Oryctolagus cuniculus: one gene and its partners. The protein of the gene in region 3 interacts with the protein of the main gene of each other region in a biochemical or structural test. Links are inferred from orthologs where the notes say so. Each region holds a gene or a part of one and is shown on either strand. Other genes may lie near its edges.

What was found. The genes of interacting proteins can lie anywhere in the genome.
Region 1: the proteins of PDZK1 (region 3) and SDK2 interact in a test that uses a peptide from one of them, tested with the Homo sapiens proteins (2 studies listed by IntAct, with this or other methods). The link is inferred for Oryctolagus cuniculus from reciprocal best matches to the Homo sapiens genes PDZK1 and SDK2.
Region 2: the proteins of PDZK1 (region 3) and ABCC4 form a complex in vitro, tested with the Homo sapiens proteins (2 studies listed by BioGRID and IntAct, with this or other methods). The link is inferred for Oryctolagus cuniculus from reciprocal best matches to the Homo sapiens genes PDZK1 and ABCC4.

What each region holds. Positions count from the first base shown.
Region 1 is NC_091448.1:6,644,230-6,649,511, reverse strand, and holds part of SDK2 (protein sidekick-2), read right to left. Parts: intron 4,501-5,282; coding exon 4,305-4,500; intron 4,115-4,304; coding exon 4,016-4,114; intron 3,628-4,015; coding exon 3,436-3,627; intron 1,811-3,435; coding exon 1,689-1,810; intron 718-1,688; coding exon 608-717; intron 503-607; coding exon 352-502; intron 1-351.
Region 2 is NC_091440.1:17,214,774-17,220,055, reverse strand, and holds part of ABCC4 (ATP-binding cassette sub-family C member 4), read right to left. Parts: coding exon 5,190-5,282; intron 3,648-5,189; coding exon 3,398-3,647; intron 1-3,397. UniProt on the Homo sapiens protein: ATP-dependent transporter of the ATP-binding cassette (ABC) family that actively extrudes physiological compounds and xenobiotics from cells.
Region 3 is NC_091438.1:49,215,450-49,220,731, reverse strand, and holds part of PDZK1 (Na(+)/H(+) exchange regulatory cofactor NHE-RF3), read right to left. Parts: coding exon 5,049-5,282; intron 3,163-5,048; coding exon 3,026-3,162; intron 894-3,025; coding exon 698-893; intron 1-697. UniProt on the Homo sapiens protein: A scaffold protein that connects plasma membrane proteins and regulatory components, regulating their surface expression in epithelial cells apical domains.

The DNA.
Region 1 (5,282 bases), on a different chromosome or scaffold from region 3:
TGGGTGCCAGTTCTAGTCCCAGCTGCTCCACTTCCGATCCAGCTCCCTGCTAATGCACTTGGGGAAGCAGCAGAAGATGACCCAAGTGCTTGGGCCCCTGCGCCCACGTGGGAGACCGGAAGAAGCTCCTGGTTCCTGGCTCCTGGCTTCCACCTGGTCCAGCCCTGGCTGTTGCAGCCATTTGGGGAATAAACCAGTGGATGGAAGATCTCTCTCTCTCTCTCTGCATTTCAAATAAATACATTTTCCAAAAAAAGAGTGGCGAGCTGTCGGCATTCCGAGGCAGGCCCTCCCTGGGGCACTGAGAGCTCTGTGGGGTGGTGAGGGTCAAGGTCCCCCCTGGAGCCTCACCATCCAGCGGAGCCACAGGCTGGTCTCACTGGCCGTGCGCAGCGTCACGTTGGCCGGGGCCATGTCAGGGGGCGCCTGGAGGGTCTGGATCTTTCTAGAAGGCTGGCTGGGTGGGCTTGTGCCCACGATGTTCACCTGGCGCATGCGGAAGCTGGGGGCGGGGGGAGAGGATGATGAGGGACGGTGAGGGCAGGACTTGGGGCCATGCCCCCCCCCCGGTCTGGGCAGCACCCCCACCCCGGCTGTGTCTGGTTACCTGTAGTAGGTGAAGGGGTTCAGGTCGGGCACCTCCATGGAGCGGGCGTCGGGCTCGTTGGCAAGCTGGTGGATCAGCAGCCACTCCTCTCCCTCTCCGATCACGCCCACCTGGAAAAGGGAGGGACCCTTGGACCTGAGCCCCAGCTCCGGGGAGACGCCAGCCCTTCCACAGGGGTCCGGGTTCAACTCCCAGGACTCCTGCAAAGCACCAAAGGGGTCCCCATCCTTCAGGGCCCTTGACCTTGACCTTGGCTCCAGTGAGACTCGGAGACCTCCTGTTTAGAACCGAATGGACGCTGGTTACACCTGCAGTCCCAGGTCCGACCCTAGACCCAGCCCATCTGAATCCTGGGGGTGGTGCCACGTGGCTGGGCTTGTCACGAGTTCCTCATAAACATTTGGGGTGTGGCTAAGGATCCCCGCTGGCACCCAAATCAGCCAACCATGCATCAGGACTGCGGGGGGTGGGATGCAGGTCAAAGGTGCAGGCAAAACTGAGAACCGGTGGCTTAGAGGGGCTGCGGCCAGCAGCCAGGTTCTAGGCCAGCTGCTCAGCACCTGGGCCAGGGAGGGATGAGGGAGGAGTGGGGAGCTCACAGGCTCAGGTGAGGTGCGGGTGTGGGCATCTGGGACATGTGGATGGTTCCCAGCTCACAATGGCCTGACTGAAGGATGTCGGATGAGGCTGTGAAATCGACATGCACTCGTATTTGCCACTTTTTTTGAATTTTAACATTTTTCCTGGCTCTTAATTCCTAATATGATACTTTGTTGAGATACCTGGCTGTAGGTTGATGTAAACAAGCATTCTGAGCGGGGTTAAGGTAGGCGGGGCTAAGCTGTCATGTCTGGCAGGTGTTTTAACTGTGTTTTCCACTTAAGATATTTTCAACTTACGATGGGTTTGTCAAGACATAAACTCCGTGTAGGCGGACACGCACCTGTATTAGGCCACTGAGGGTTGTGCGTGAAAATTCACGCAGACCGATACACACTACACGGTGGAGAGCTGGGGGCTGCCCGAGGCCAGGAGAGGGGGCACTGCCTGTCCCGTGGGGCCACCCTTCAGCAGGCCTTACCTGGGCCTCCACCAGCCAGCGGGAGATGGAGGTTTTCCCATCGTAGCCTGGCCTGAACTGCAAGGTCACAGAGCGGGGGCCGATGTTGGAAATGCCCAGATTGGTGGGGGCCCCTGGCAGCTCTGGAAAATAAGAGGATAAGGTGGGAGGTCAGGGGACAATGTGTCCCCACCTGGAGCAGGAGGTCAGGAGGAAGTGTCCCCTCCTGGAATAGGCATTGTGGGCACAGAGGGGACTTTTCCTAGACTTGTCCTTGGAGAAGCAAGGTCAAGGCCTCCCTCTTGTCCCCCCAACAAAATCTGTGTTCCTGCGCCTGACAGAGCACCTGTGCATACACCAGGAGCCCGAGAGATCTGGGGGCTCAAGGCACCCTGCAGGGCCAGGGACGGCTCCCAGGGCCAAGCAACAGGGGCCGCAGATGCAGGGGGCTTCCTTGGGGGCTGGTGGGGACCTGCTGGGACGCTCCTGACGAAGGCTGAGCCAGCCCAATGTGGCTCCGCAGAACCAAGCGGGATCAATCCTCCCTTCCAGAGGCCCGGCCCCCACGCCGCTCCCCAGCCTGGGGTTGGGGTGGGGTGGGGACGGGGGCAGCTGGAGTTTTCCCACCAGGAACCTGAGGCTCCTAAAGTCAAGTTTGGGTTGCCAGTTTGGGTTCCAGCTGCTCCACTTCTAATCCAGCTCGCTGCTAACGTGCCTGGGAAAGCAGTGGAAGATATCTCAATCTTGCCTGGGCCCCTGCACCCACACAGGAGAACAGAAAAAGCTGCTGGCTTTGGCATGGCCCAGCCCTAGCTGTTGTGTGGCCATTTGGGGGCGTAAACCAGTGCATAGAGGCTCTCTCTCTTTCTCTGTGTCTCTCCTTCTTTTTCTGTAACTCTGCCTTTCAAATAAGTCAATAAATTCCCCCCCCCCAAAAAAAAGAGAGAGAGAGATATAAAGAATTTTGGCTTATTCCCCAAATTCCTAGGGCTGGACCAGGATAAAGTCATGAGCCTGGGACTCAATCCTGGTCTCCCATGTGAGTGACAGGGACCCAAGTACTCGGGCCATCACCTGTTGCCTCCCAGGGGGAGCCTAAGGAGGAAGCCGGAATTGGAGGTGGAATATGGGAATTCCACGTGGCAGCTAACTGGTGCACCAAGCACCTGCTCCTGAACTTGAGTTTTATTCCATTTTCTACCACCTCTCTGAAGTCCCCTTGTGCCTATCAACGTCACTCTTTATGGCTGTGGTGCACGGGCCAGGTTCAGGCCCTCAAGGACAGGGAGGAGGGATGCTGGCCACATGGTCACCTAGCCCAACTCCCCGTGGACACGGGTGGGGAAATGGAGACAGGGTGACAGCCTCGTCTTGCTCGGGGGCACAGAGCTGGGCAGGTACAGTGCTGGGATCAGACCCCGGCTCCCTCTCTGTGTCTGGCCCAAGACTGCTCCTGCCACCTGCTGCCACCTCCCTGAGCGACCCATTTGGACTTCCGGTACCAGTGAGCATTGTTCCAGATACCACGGGAGGCTGTGGTGGACCGGGGTGGGGGAGGGAGGGGACGCTGAGATGCGATGGGGCTGGGGGAGGAAGCTGCAGTGAGCCCACCGAGTCTTCGCCCAGAGACCTGGAGTCGTGGGGAGGACCCGGGGCCAGCGAGGGCCCGAAGGGTAGAAAGCCAACATCCCTGACCACAAGGCCTCAGCCACAGGCTGCTGAGGGGCACAGCAGAGGCCAGCAGTCCTGTGCTGAGAGCGGCACCCACCTGGAGGCACCCCCGAGGAGATGGTGGAGGCGGACACCTGGCCCTGGCCCTTGGCAGTCATGGCAGCCACCTCGATGGTGTAGGTGGTGAGCGCGGTGAGGCCCGTGACGCGGTACTCCAGGGTCACGTTGGGCAGGTAGTGGGTCACGCGGGTGTTGGTTCGGTTGTATTCCTCCCAGGAGATCCGGTACCCTGGGGAGAACACCCCAGCAGTGGAGTGAGCTTGGCTGGGACCATGAGTTAGCCTTGACCCTCGCCCTACTTCTCACTTTTTCACTTGGTCAACAGAGTCACAAAGGCCGGGGGAGGTGTGGGGGGGTCACTGCTGAAGCCGGGGCCACAGGCGTCACCTCCATGGGACACCGACTTGGTGTGGGGAGTGCAGGGGAGAGCCAGGCACCCTGGCCGGAGACCATGGGATGTGGCACAGAGCAGAGGGGCTGCAGGCCTCCCCAGTGCCGTGTGCTAGAACGAGGGGGCTGGCCGGGGGGTTGCATGGCACTAAATGAAGACAGGGGGATGGGCCAGCTGACGCACCTGTCCCCGTCCCACCCTGGTGCAGGGACACCGCGACACCTACCTGTGAGGATGCCATTCTTCTCTCCTGGCTCCTGCCAGCTGACCTTTAGCGAGGTGTCCAGGATGTCACTGAAGCTCAGGTGTCCCACAGGGCCGGGCACTGTACCCCAAAAGGACCCCCCACCCCACCCGATGCCAGTTAAAGCCTCAGAGAAAGAGAGAGAGAGACCACCGTCTGCAAGGCAGCCCACGGCCACCCAGGGATGCCCGGGCCCAGGAGCCAAGACCAGGGCCGCCTCTGCCTGCAGCGCCGGCCAGCCGGCCGTGGGTGGGGGCTGGGCGATGCCTACCATCCTCGTGGGTGCGCACCAGCTGGGGGGTGCTGCGGGGCCCGTCTCCGGGGGTGGTGAAACACAGCACGGAGGTGAAGTAGTCAGTGAACTTCTTCAGGCCGGACACGAAGCCCATGTGGATGCTGTCTTGAAAGTTGGGCCGGACGGTCACCATGGTAACCTCCTCTTCCTGCTCCGGCTCCCAGGCGATCAGCTGGGGGAGAAGCCAGTGAGAATGTTCCAGAAGAGGCCAAGCTGTTTCCTACAGGCTCCTCCCAGAGAAGGGAGAGGCAGGGCAGGCGACACACAGTCCCTCCTGGTGACCCTTCCATGTAAGAACGGTGCTGGGTGCATCCCATGAGCCAGCGCTTACCAAACTCTTCTCACAGAGACCCGGGGAGGGAGGCATTTTAGTAGGACCAGCTACAAAGTTGCAGGTCCATGCAAACTGGAAATAGAAGGCCTTTCTCTTTGTTCAACAGCTGTTCAGAATGTCAAGGGGTGAGCCTCTGACCCCGTGGTTAGGAGGCCCACGTCCCACTTGGGGTCAAGTGCCAGCTCTGCCTCCCGACCCCAGCATCCCGATAACATGCACCCTGGGAGGCAGCAGTGATGGCTCATGGGAGATCTGGACCGAGATCCCGGCTCCTGGCTTCAACCCCGGCCAGGGGGCTGGTGCAGGCATTCGGGGAAGGAACCAGCTGATGCGGAGTTCTCTCTCTGTCTCTCAAAGTTAAAATAAAAAATAAAACCAAGATACTAGCAGTGGAGCGTCTAACCAGGCTCAGGGCCCTGCCAAGTACAGGGTCCTAGACGACGCCACAGGCTGTACGCTCATTAGGCTGGCCCTGTATCTCAGGGAGGAGTTAACGGAGGCTTAGAGAGGCTGAGTGATTACTCCACGCCACACAGCTAAGGGGAAGACGAGGTTCTCAGAGTTGGGCCCTGAGGCGTGCACACCTGTCTCTGTACCGGCTGGGTGGCCTCGCCTGGAGT
Region 2 (5,282 bases), on a different chromosome or scaffold from region 3:
TATTAGCCATTTAGGCTGCTTCCAATTATCTACACGGCCCAATGAGAGAGAGCCCAGCTATCTTCACAGCTGGGAGCCAGGCAAGCAAGTCATTGCCAATGCCAGGCCGGGCCAGGCACAGCCCTAATCGTTAAGACAGCTGGGCTGGAGACACACAGAGTAGGAAGAGAAAGGCCCATCCGTCCCCACTCTAGACAAGGCCTTGCTCCCCTCCCGTGGGTCAGCCAAGATTCTCCAAAACGCAGTGTTCCAGGAATGCCCAACTCAAATCTGCTCCTCCACTTGGCATTTCTCTGGCTTCTGGTACAGGCTGGGCCACCCTGGGTCCCTGCCTACTCCTGGGACTGTGGCTTCCATCAGCCCAGTACTGAGTGCCCACTGCATGTCCAGAGAGGCTGGGCTAGGTGGCACCTGCCTGTGCAGCAGAATAAAAGCACAGCAAAGGCCATGGGAGAGGAGCAGAGCGCTCAGCAGGGTGTGCTTAAACCCGGGACAGAAGAGAAGGCACCTGGCAGGGCCAAAGGTAGGAGCCAAAGACCCCGGATTGGGGTGCATGTGGGGTACAGCAAAACCTAGAGTGTTAAAATTTGAGTTTGCAGGAAAAAAGGAACCTATGGAGGTTTGGGGAATCAGATTAGATGATGACAACAATTATTCCACATGTTAGAAGGTACTAAGAAGGCAACGTAGGTTAGGAAACCAGGGCTCAGGGCAGAGTCCTCACTCGATCTTGTACAAGCTATGTGACAAGGGACACTATTTAACCTATTAAGGGAACCTGCAGAGGGGACATTAGTGCACCAGTAAGCCTTAGATTATCATCAGAATGAAACAACAACAAAAGTAAAGGTTTGCAAGGACCCCTGACCCCAGTACAAGGGTACTTCCAAAAACTCAAGGAAAATAGAATTAAAAGATAAGATTACTTCAGTACCAAAAAAAGGATCTGCAATCAGTGAATATGGGATGTTCAAAAAGTTCATGGAAATGCATGTTATGAATAAAATTATGCCTGGATATCAAACATTTTCTGCACCGAAGTAAATTTTTAATTCTGTGTTCTGTGAACTTTGTGAGGTTTGTGCACTGATGAGCACACACACACATGGACACGCACGCACACACACACACACACACCAGCAATGAAAGTGAGCAGCATAATAGTGACAACAGTAGTAACAGAATTACAACAGCACAACACACAGCAAGCCACCCTCTAGGAGAGGCACAGTGTGCATTTAAAATGACACTATCGTCAAAATATTTTCCTCAATGTTTTCTTTAAAAAAAAAAAAAAAGCTATTCCAATGCATGGACCACGCCTTAACCATGCTGGGTTAAGCCACGGTCACAAAAAATAACTTCAGGGGCTGGCACTGTGGTGTAACAGGTTAAAGAATGGTGCCTAACCTATACGGGCACCAGCTTGAGTCCTGGCTGCACGACTTCCTGTGGGGAGCAACTCGGACTAGACTGAGTTACTGGAATTAAGACTTATTCTATGCATCTGCTCTCCCACAATATGGCGCTGGGAGAGAAGAAAACAGCTTCTACACAGCTGCCTCCAGTTCAGCCAATAAACTGTAGGACTTGCTCCTGATTGGAGGAGAGCAGCGTACTCGGCGTGTGGGCAGCAGAGTTGGGATTGGCAGAGGAGGACTATAAAGGAGGAGAGAGACGGCATGCACCAGGAACATCTAAGGGGAACATCTAAGGGGAACATCTGAAGGAACACCTGTGCAGCCCCCGAGAGAGCCGGCCGGCGGTGTGCTGCTCCCCTGCGGAAGTGGGGAATGTGGCCAGGGGGAACCGCCCTTCCACGGAGGTGGAGGGACAGTAGCCAACCCGGGAAGAACCAGCAGCAAACCCAGGGAGGGCCGAGCAGACAAAAGAACAGCGCAGGGTCCTGTGTCGTTCCTCCACGAAGAGGGGGAGCGACAACTTCCGATCCAGCTCCTAGGCTAATGTGCCTAGGACAGTGGCTGAAGATGGCTCAAGTGCTTGGGTCCCTGAACCTTCATGGTAGACACAGAAGAAGCTCCTGGTTCCTGGCTTCAGCCTGGCCAACCCCAGCCTTTGTGACCATTTGGGGAGTGAACCAGTGAATAGAAGATCTCTCTATCTGTCTTTCCTTTTCTCTCTCTCTCTATGTGACTCTGCCTTTCAAATAAATAAATAAACCTTGAAAGAAAGAAAAGAAATAATACTCCAGGGCACCAGAACTGACCCTATGTGACTCATCAGTTTCATGCATACTATTTTTTTTATGACCTTGTGTTAAAAACTGATCTTTGTTTATGATGGGGCACTGTGTTCACAGGAGATCTTTGCTGGGCTTGGATCATGGCTGAGCAAAAACAAGTAGATCTGTTTAAAGCTCAGACAAGCAAGGCCCTCGCAAGGAACCGATTCATTCTCACTTTAGACCCATTCAGCAGTACCAATACGTGAGCACCTATTATGAGCCAGGCCCTTTATCTTAGTTATGTAAGTTATTTGCCCCTAGCAATTTAGGGACAGCTGCTTAGCAAAAGTGAAAAGGCTTGTAAAATACTGGTTCAACCACAGTAAGAGAAAGGAAAAAAGAGAACAGGAAAGAACAGGCAGGGATCCAAAGGCATAGCCAGAAATCAACAGGTAAAGCAACTGTGGAGGAAAGACCCGATTTTAAAACGTTTAATTAATTTTCAGGCAGAGAGAGAGAAAGACACATCTTTCATTGACTGGAGCACTCCCCAAATGCCTGTAACACTCAGGGTTGAGCCAGGCTGGAGCCAGGAGCTCAGAACTCTGTTTTGGTCTCCCATCTTGGTCTGCCCAAGCACCTGAGCCATCTGTCACCTGCTGCCGCCCAAAGAGCACTAAAAGGAAGCCAGACCGGAAGTACCTGGGACTTGGAAGGGCACTGATATGGGATGTAGGCATCCTAAGTGGTGGTTCAACCGGCTGCACCACAATGCCAGCACCAAGCACCTGCTTTTCAACAAGGGTCATTAGGTGAGGTTCAGGCCACTCTGCCTCCCCAAGCAGCAGGGCTATTTGGCAAGCTCTTCTCTTCCCAGTACAAAGAGGGACCCACTCCTCCTACCTACTCATTGGAGCTGGCACAGGAGACGGAATCTGTTTGCTTCCCTGTTCCTAGCATTTCATCACACCCCCATTATCACTGACACAGACAACCCCCCGGTCACCGTCACATTGCTGTCCACATGTGATCACAGTGTGTGCTGTTTCCTGCCCACCCTCCCTATGAGAAGTAGGGAAGTCATTCCTACGTCTGGAATAACTGCATGCTTTGGGGCTGATAGAGTTCAGCTCCCCTTAACTGGGACCCAAGAACCCAAAGCAATAGGAATAAGGAGCCACCCACACCCTTCACCATCATTCTCTACCAAACCTTGATTCTCCGGATGCTGACAATCGACTCTGACACTCTCTCGATCGCTGCCGGGAAGAAGAGGGTGACGGTCAGCCGCACGGCGCCGTACAGCGTCACGGCCACAAACACACGGCTGGCTGTGATGACGTTGCCCAGGAGCACATAGACTGTGAAGGTCACGAACACGATGATTTTGCTTGCAACGAAAAATGAGGCCAAATTCATCCCTCTGAGGTAGGAACTGCTCAGGATCTTGGAAATTTCCTTCCTGCAACGGACAACGGACAGGAGCTTTGCAGGAAATGTCCACGTCAAGCTCACGACCCCAAGCGCCTTTTGCATGTGGCTCTGTTCTAGGGTGGGGGCCACAGATTAAGACAAACTGCTTCTCACACGGTGAAAAATTCAGTGCTTATCCAATATTTTTATGCGCAGTGGTTGAAATGTGCAATGCCATGGGATTACATTTTGAGTCTATCAGACTGGGCTTGAACAAGCGTTCGAATGACTCACTCAACAAGCATTTGTAAACTTAAGCCTTGTGCCAAGTGCCTCTGTGGTGCCAGAAAGATGAGGGAGACACAGCCTGTCCCCTCCAGGTGCTTCGTGAACTCATGAGAGGAGAGAAAAGCAACCTGAGAATCGTGAGACCCCCAAGACCCTAGACAGAAGGTGCAGCAAGCATGGCGCCTTTGGGAGCAGGCAAAGGCAGTGGGTAACTCCACGTGGTGCAGAGGGCCACGTGCTTGGCAGAGCCAGAGAAGAATGAAGGCAACAGGGTTCCCAAACATAGGGAGGGGCCTGTAAAGGTGCAAAGATGAGGGTGCCAGGTATCATGTGTTGAGGTGTGAAAGGTAATCAAATATTTCAATCAAAAGACAAAAAAATTTTTCCAAAGATAGGGAATAACAAAGAGGAATACTGATTCCATGGCTGTTTGGCTCAATACAGGCTCACCCCATCTCTGTAATCTCCCCATCAACATCAATTACAGCTTCATTTCAAAGGTCATACCCTCAGTATTAACAGAACCACTGCTTATTCAGAAACACTTGGAATTTCATTTTCACTATTAGTCAGATTCACGTACATTTTTTGCCTTAAGAAAAGGGAAGCGCAGGGGCCAGCGCTATAGCGCAGTGGGTTAATGCCCTGGCCTGAAGCGCAGGCATCCCATATGGGCACCAGTTCTAGACCTGGCTGCTCCTCTTCTGATCCAGCTCTCTGCTATGGTCTGGGAAAGCAGTAGAAGATGGCCAAGGTCCTTGGGCCCCTGCATCCACATGGGGAACCTGGAAGAAGCTCCTGGCTCCTGGCCTGGGATTGGCATAGCTCTGGTCATTGTGTCCAATTGGGGAATGAACCACTGGATGGAAGACCTGCCTGTCTCTCTCTCTCTCTCTCTGCCTCTCCTCTCTGTGTAACTCTCACTTTCAAATAAATAAATAAATCTTTAAAAAGGAGAGGAGAGGAGAGGAGAGGGGAGGGGAGGGGAGGGGAGGGGAGGGGAGGGGAGGGGAGGGGAGGGGAGGGGAGAGGAGAGGAGAGGAGAGGAGAGGAGAGGAGAGGAGAGGAGAGGAGAGGAGAGGAGAGGAGAGGAGAGGAGAGGAGAGGAAAACGAAAAGGGAAGCCCAGGTTAAAATGGTGTCCTAGGCCATTCTACTAAACCTACTGCCACATGCAGGAGGTGGGCATGCACAGCGTTCAAGTTCACCCCCATGTGAAATCATAGCGAGATTTCTCAAACCAATTCAGGACCAAATGGTAAGAGGCACAGCGCACAAACACCGCCCGCTCAGCACAGACCTACCTTCTCAGACTGGCGATGAGCTCCGCAAACGACTTCTCCCAGGCATACATTTTTATTATCCTTATGCCAGTTATAACCTCATTCATGGTCCTG
Region 3 (5,282 bases):
ATTTTTGCTTTATTCACTTCTAAGACCTTGAGTGTGTTTTTATATAATATGAACAAAATTAATATCTGATGAATTGATATAAAGCATAGATAGAAAAAAACTTCTAGCTGAATACCAGCTCATATGGTCTGACCTGCAGTCTATTACATATTTGCCTTCCCAGAAAGGGTCTTGGTTCTTTTGTTTTTAGTTACAAGGAAGCAGAAAGACTACTTTCCGGCCATGTTTGAGTCCCAGACCCTGACCCGCACTTCTGTCGCAGATCCAGGGGCGTGCTGGGGCTAGCACACTCACACCAGCTCACAGGAGCCAGTATCGGGCAACACCTCAATTCTGTGTTCAGTGACAGCATGTTGGTAGCTTGAAATCAGACGCAGCGAGAGGGGAGTATTTACAACACGAAAGTCAATAAGCATCACACATCAGGACTTTCCCCCAGAAAGTCAATTTACCAGCACGCTTACCCCCATTTCCCAAATTCTGCCTTAGCACCCACCTATGGACATTTTGAGAGGCCCAAAGTCAGGCCCCACTATGTGATGGAGAAACCAAGCCAGCTGTGCTTCCTAGTTTCTTGCTAGGCCCCGTCATGTATCTGGAAGGGAGCTGGGGGCCTAGCAGATCGCTGCGGTCAGGTTGGGATGAAGAACTAGTTGGTTACACTGCCAAGTTTGGGGCTCCTCTTCTAGCGCCTTACCTCTCTGTTCTGGGCCTGCCTTCAGATAGAAACCATAGCCACTGCTTCCCTTCTTCATCTCCACAATGCGGGGCTGGTGGGGCAGCAGCTTCAAACTGGCCGCTTCTCTCCTGAACTCTATCTTCTGCTCGCTGTGCCGTTTCTCAGTTTCTTTGTCTACCAGAAGGAACATGATACGGTTTCCCGACTTCTTCACCTGCAACCACACACACAGACGAGGGACAACATTAGCCCCCAAGGATGATGCTGGGGAACAAGAGAATTGCCATGGAGACGCACTCAACAGAAACATGAAATCAAGTCTTGCATTTAAGCTGTTCAAGACTATTTCTTGGGGCTGGCGCTGTGGCGTAGTGGGTAAAGCCGCTGCCTGAAGTGCCCGCATCTCGTATGGGCACCAGTTCTAGTCTCGGCTGCTTCTGATCCAGCTCTCTGCTCTGGCCTGGGAAAGCAGTAGAAGATGACCCAAGTCCTTGGGCTGCTGCACCCGCACGGGAGACCCAGAAGAAGCTCCTGGCTTCAGATTGGCGCAGCTCCGCCCATCGCTGCCAATCGGGGAGTGAACCAGTAGATGGAAGAACTGTCTCTGTGCCTCTGCCTAACTACCTTTCAAATAAATAAATCACTTAAAAAAAATTTTAAAAAAAGACTATTTCCTACCCTTTAGCTGGTTTGTATCTACCTCTACTCCTATAGTTGTTTCTCCCTTTGTTGAGTGTGCCCTCACCCACACAGATGCTGCCTGAAACCTGGCAAACCAGAAAACCCAGAAAGGTGCATAAACAAAGCCTGGAACAGGAGTTTGGGAAAAGAAAGATCATTCTACCAAGAGAAGAGGTTGATTCATTTTTAAGGCTCCATATGATACCCCCCACAAAACCAAGTGTTTTCCACGTGTCATGGGACCAGGCTGGGACATTCGATTTGGAGTGAGGCCTGTCCAGCATCTTCCATCTGTAGCTCCACGTGGTAGCCCCTCCACGTGGCAGCCCCTCCTTGTCTGTGGTTTCACGACCCATGATCAACCATGGCCTGAAAATGCTAAGTATTGAAATTCCAGAAATAAACTACTCATAAGGGTTTGTTTGTTTTTTGTTGTTGTTGTTGTTGTTTTAGTAAGCACTATCCTCTCTTTTAACTTTTCATTTAATTTGAAAGGGAGGCAGAGCGAGAGCTTCCATCAACCACTTCACACCCTCTCCAAATGCCCGCAACATCCAGGGCTGGCCCAGGCTAAAGCCAGGAGTCGGGACTCAATCCAGGTCTTCCGCGTGGGTGGCAGGGACCCAGCTACTTGACCCACCATCTGCTGCCTCCCAGGGTATACATTTACGGGAGGCTGGAATCAGAAGCAGAACTGGGATTCAAATCCAGGTCTCCCAATATAGGACGTGGACTTCGCAAGCAGAGACTTAACTAACCACAGTGTCCAACACCCACCTCAATGCATAAGTTTTAAGTGACATGCATTCTGCATAACATAATGAAATCTTATGCCATCCCACTCCATCCTGCCTGGGACATGAATCATCCCTTTGTCCTGCAAACCCACGCTGTGGGACTACCCACTCAACCACCACTTGGTAGCCACCTCATTTATTAAATCAGTTCTCATAGCATCAAAGTACTTGTGTTCAAGGAACCCTTCTTTTACTTAATGGTCCCAAAGCCCAAAACATTTTATTATAGTACATTGTTATAGTTGTTCTAATGGCCTCTGATTTTATTAATAAATTCAGTGTTGAGATGATACTAAAATGTTTTACTAGGAACTAGAAGGTAACCAGCATGGTGAATACAGCTACTCCCCATTATCAGAGGTGAATGTGTTCCCCAAAGTATCCCACAGATGCCTGAAATCCCAATAGTACAGAAACCTATATATATAGTTTTCTTCATATACATCCATACATACCTGTGGTGATAAAGTTTAATTCATAAGTTATACATAGTACGAGATAAACACATATTACAAGTAGGCAATTATATAAAAGTTATTTAAAACATTCTGGAATTTTCCATTCAATGTTTTCAGACCACAATCGACCACAGGTAACTGAAATGAGGGAAAGCAAAACTACAGATAAAGTGGGACTACTGCCTCAGTAAGATCCACAAGATAAAGATAGGCCTCTTGATGTGAAACTAGCAAAGGGTTTATTTCAAAACACCATATTAACATGGCTACGACACTAGTGAGTATATTCACACAGTAGGGCAACCCCACTGGCCCACAAGTTTAGCTGGCCCCTACCAACCCTGTCTTTCCATCCCTTCCAGTGAGGGTAGAATCAAAGGAAGGTAAGAGAAGTCCCCCGTGGGGCCCACCTTTTCAACCACCTCCTCGTGACTGGCATCTTCTACATTCTCTCCGTTCACTTCAATCAAGTGGTCATCAGCCAGGATGCCAGCCTTCATAGCCACGCTTTGAGGGATGATATCAGTCATGTACACGCCCTTTTTACCTGGAGGAGAAGAGGATGAATTCCATTGCAGAGAAAACTCGAAGTCCCAATAATGTGAAAACAGAACTTCTCATCTTAGAGCTAACAAACAGCCCTTGGCTTGTGATCTAGAGTCACAGCTGTAGCTCCTAGGGCAAAGCTTGACACAGCCATTACCCATGGGTATCCGTTGATCAGAACAGAATTTCTGAGCCCAGCTAGATGCAAAGAAGGAATCCCTGATATCATTGGCCTCTTGAACCTGAAAGCACCAAACCACGCCCATGCTGGATCCTGCTGTCATTCTTTGCCTTTGTAGACTTATAAAGGCTCCATTCCCTCATCTTTGGCGCCATCACTGACCACATACCAGCGGAGTCGATAAAACTCGCTAATGCAAGGACAGAGGGATGGAAGGGGAGAAAAGCATGCATTTAGGTGGTGCGATTTGAGTGCTAGAAGTGCTTGCCAGTTCTTCCAAGATGCTCCTATTTCAGCTAGACGAGAAGTAGCCTCATAACACAAATCAGTTGTAAGAAATAATAACTTGAGGGGCCAGCGCTGTGGCACAGCAGGTTAACGTCCTGGCCTGAAGCGCCAGCATCCCATATGGGTGCCGGTTCGAGACCTCGCTGCTCCACTTTCTGTCCAGCTCTCTGCTGTGGCCTGGGAAAGTGGTAGATGGCCCAAAGTCCTTGGGCCCTTGCACCCATATGGGAGACCTGGAAGAAGCTCCTGGTTCCTGGCTTCGGATTGGCACAGCTCCAGCCATTGCAGCCAACTGGGGAGTGAACCATCGGATGAAAGACCTCTCTCTCTCTCTCTCCTCTCTCTGTAACTTTTTTTTTTTTTTTTGATTTATTTTTACTTGAAAGAACTTGAAGTCTGCTTCCTTAACCTTTAAATTTCTTTGGCTACATTATACAATTGTCATGAAGAAAACGTTTTCTTCATAAAGCCAGGCTAAACTACACCTTCGCACCAGAGCCAGATGAGAACACAAATGCTTCTTTTTCACCATTCTATCGATCGTGGACTTCTACGAAATGCCAGGCTTCCCTTGGCCACCTACATCACTGTGTTTAATGACCAATGGACTAGAGAAACGCCTCCCAGCTAGTTTACATCTCTTTCAAACAATTCAAAAATTTCCTGCTGCTTTCCTCCTTTATCCCTTAGTGAATTACGGTAAGTCACTAGTGCCTCTCCAGTGCTACAAGGAAGGCGGACACAGGCACTGTAGAAGATGGAACCCATCAGCCAATGCGGCTCCTCTGCCTGCAGCCCACGTCCCAGGTCTGTCTGCGCTTCTGAAGTTGCAGACATAGGCCCTAAAATACATCTGGACAGCCAGGCTCTCCCAGCACGACACAGCTCTCAGCTAGAGGTCGGGGTACACCTCAGGGCAGGCGGGACGGGGCCACACTGAGGACTCTAAATGTCACCAAAGGGTGCAGATTTTTTTGCCATCTCCTTAGCAACTTACAACAGCATCACATACATCAATGGATGCTCACGAATTTGTTGAATGAGTGAGTGACCATCCGGACACTCAGAGATGAAAAGTACGGTTCCCACTCAAAAGTTCTGTTATGAAGAACCCCTTGCTTCTCATCTCCCATCGTCCCCTGCACCTTCACCCTAAGGAAGCAAGAAAAGAATGACAAAGACCTCTGGCCTCGAAGGGTCAGCCTAAAGGACACTAGGAGAGAGGCGTGCCCAGTGTCCCTCTCCCCAACCCCACCCATCCCCTGTGCAATTGTACAGGTAAGAGGGGGCAGGTAGAAAGGGAGAGACATGACGGTCCTACGAGGCTTTACAGCAGCTGAAAATTAGTCACTAACCAGAGCAACGTGTCCCTGCTGGAAGGCCGTGCACCGCTCCCCCCCCCCCCTCCCAGGGCTCACCTTGGACGGTTTTCAGGGAGAAGCCGTAGCTGTTCCCCTGCTTCTCCAGGTAGCAGAGTCGCGGCTGCGTCCAGGTCTCCACTCCTCCATTCATCACAGGGGCCACGTTCTCGTCACGCAAATCCGCCTCCTGCCGACTCTGACCCAACTCTTTCAAATCTACCTGTTTTTTCACAGCTTTCTCATAGGAATTCCCATCCAGAACTAGTAAAGTCACTGCATTGCCACTCTTTC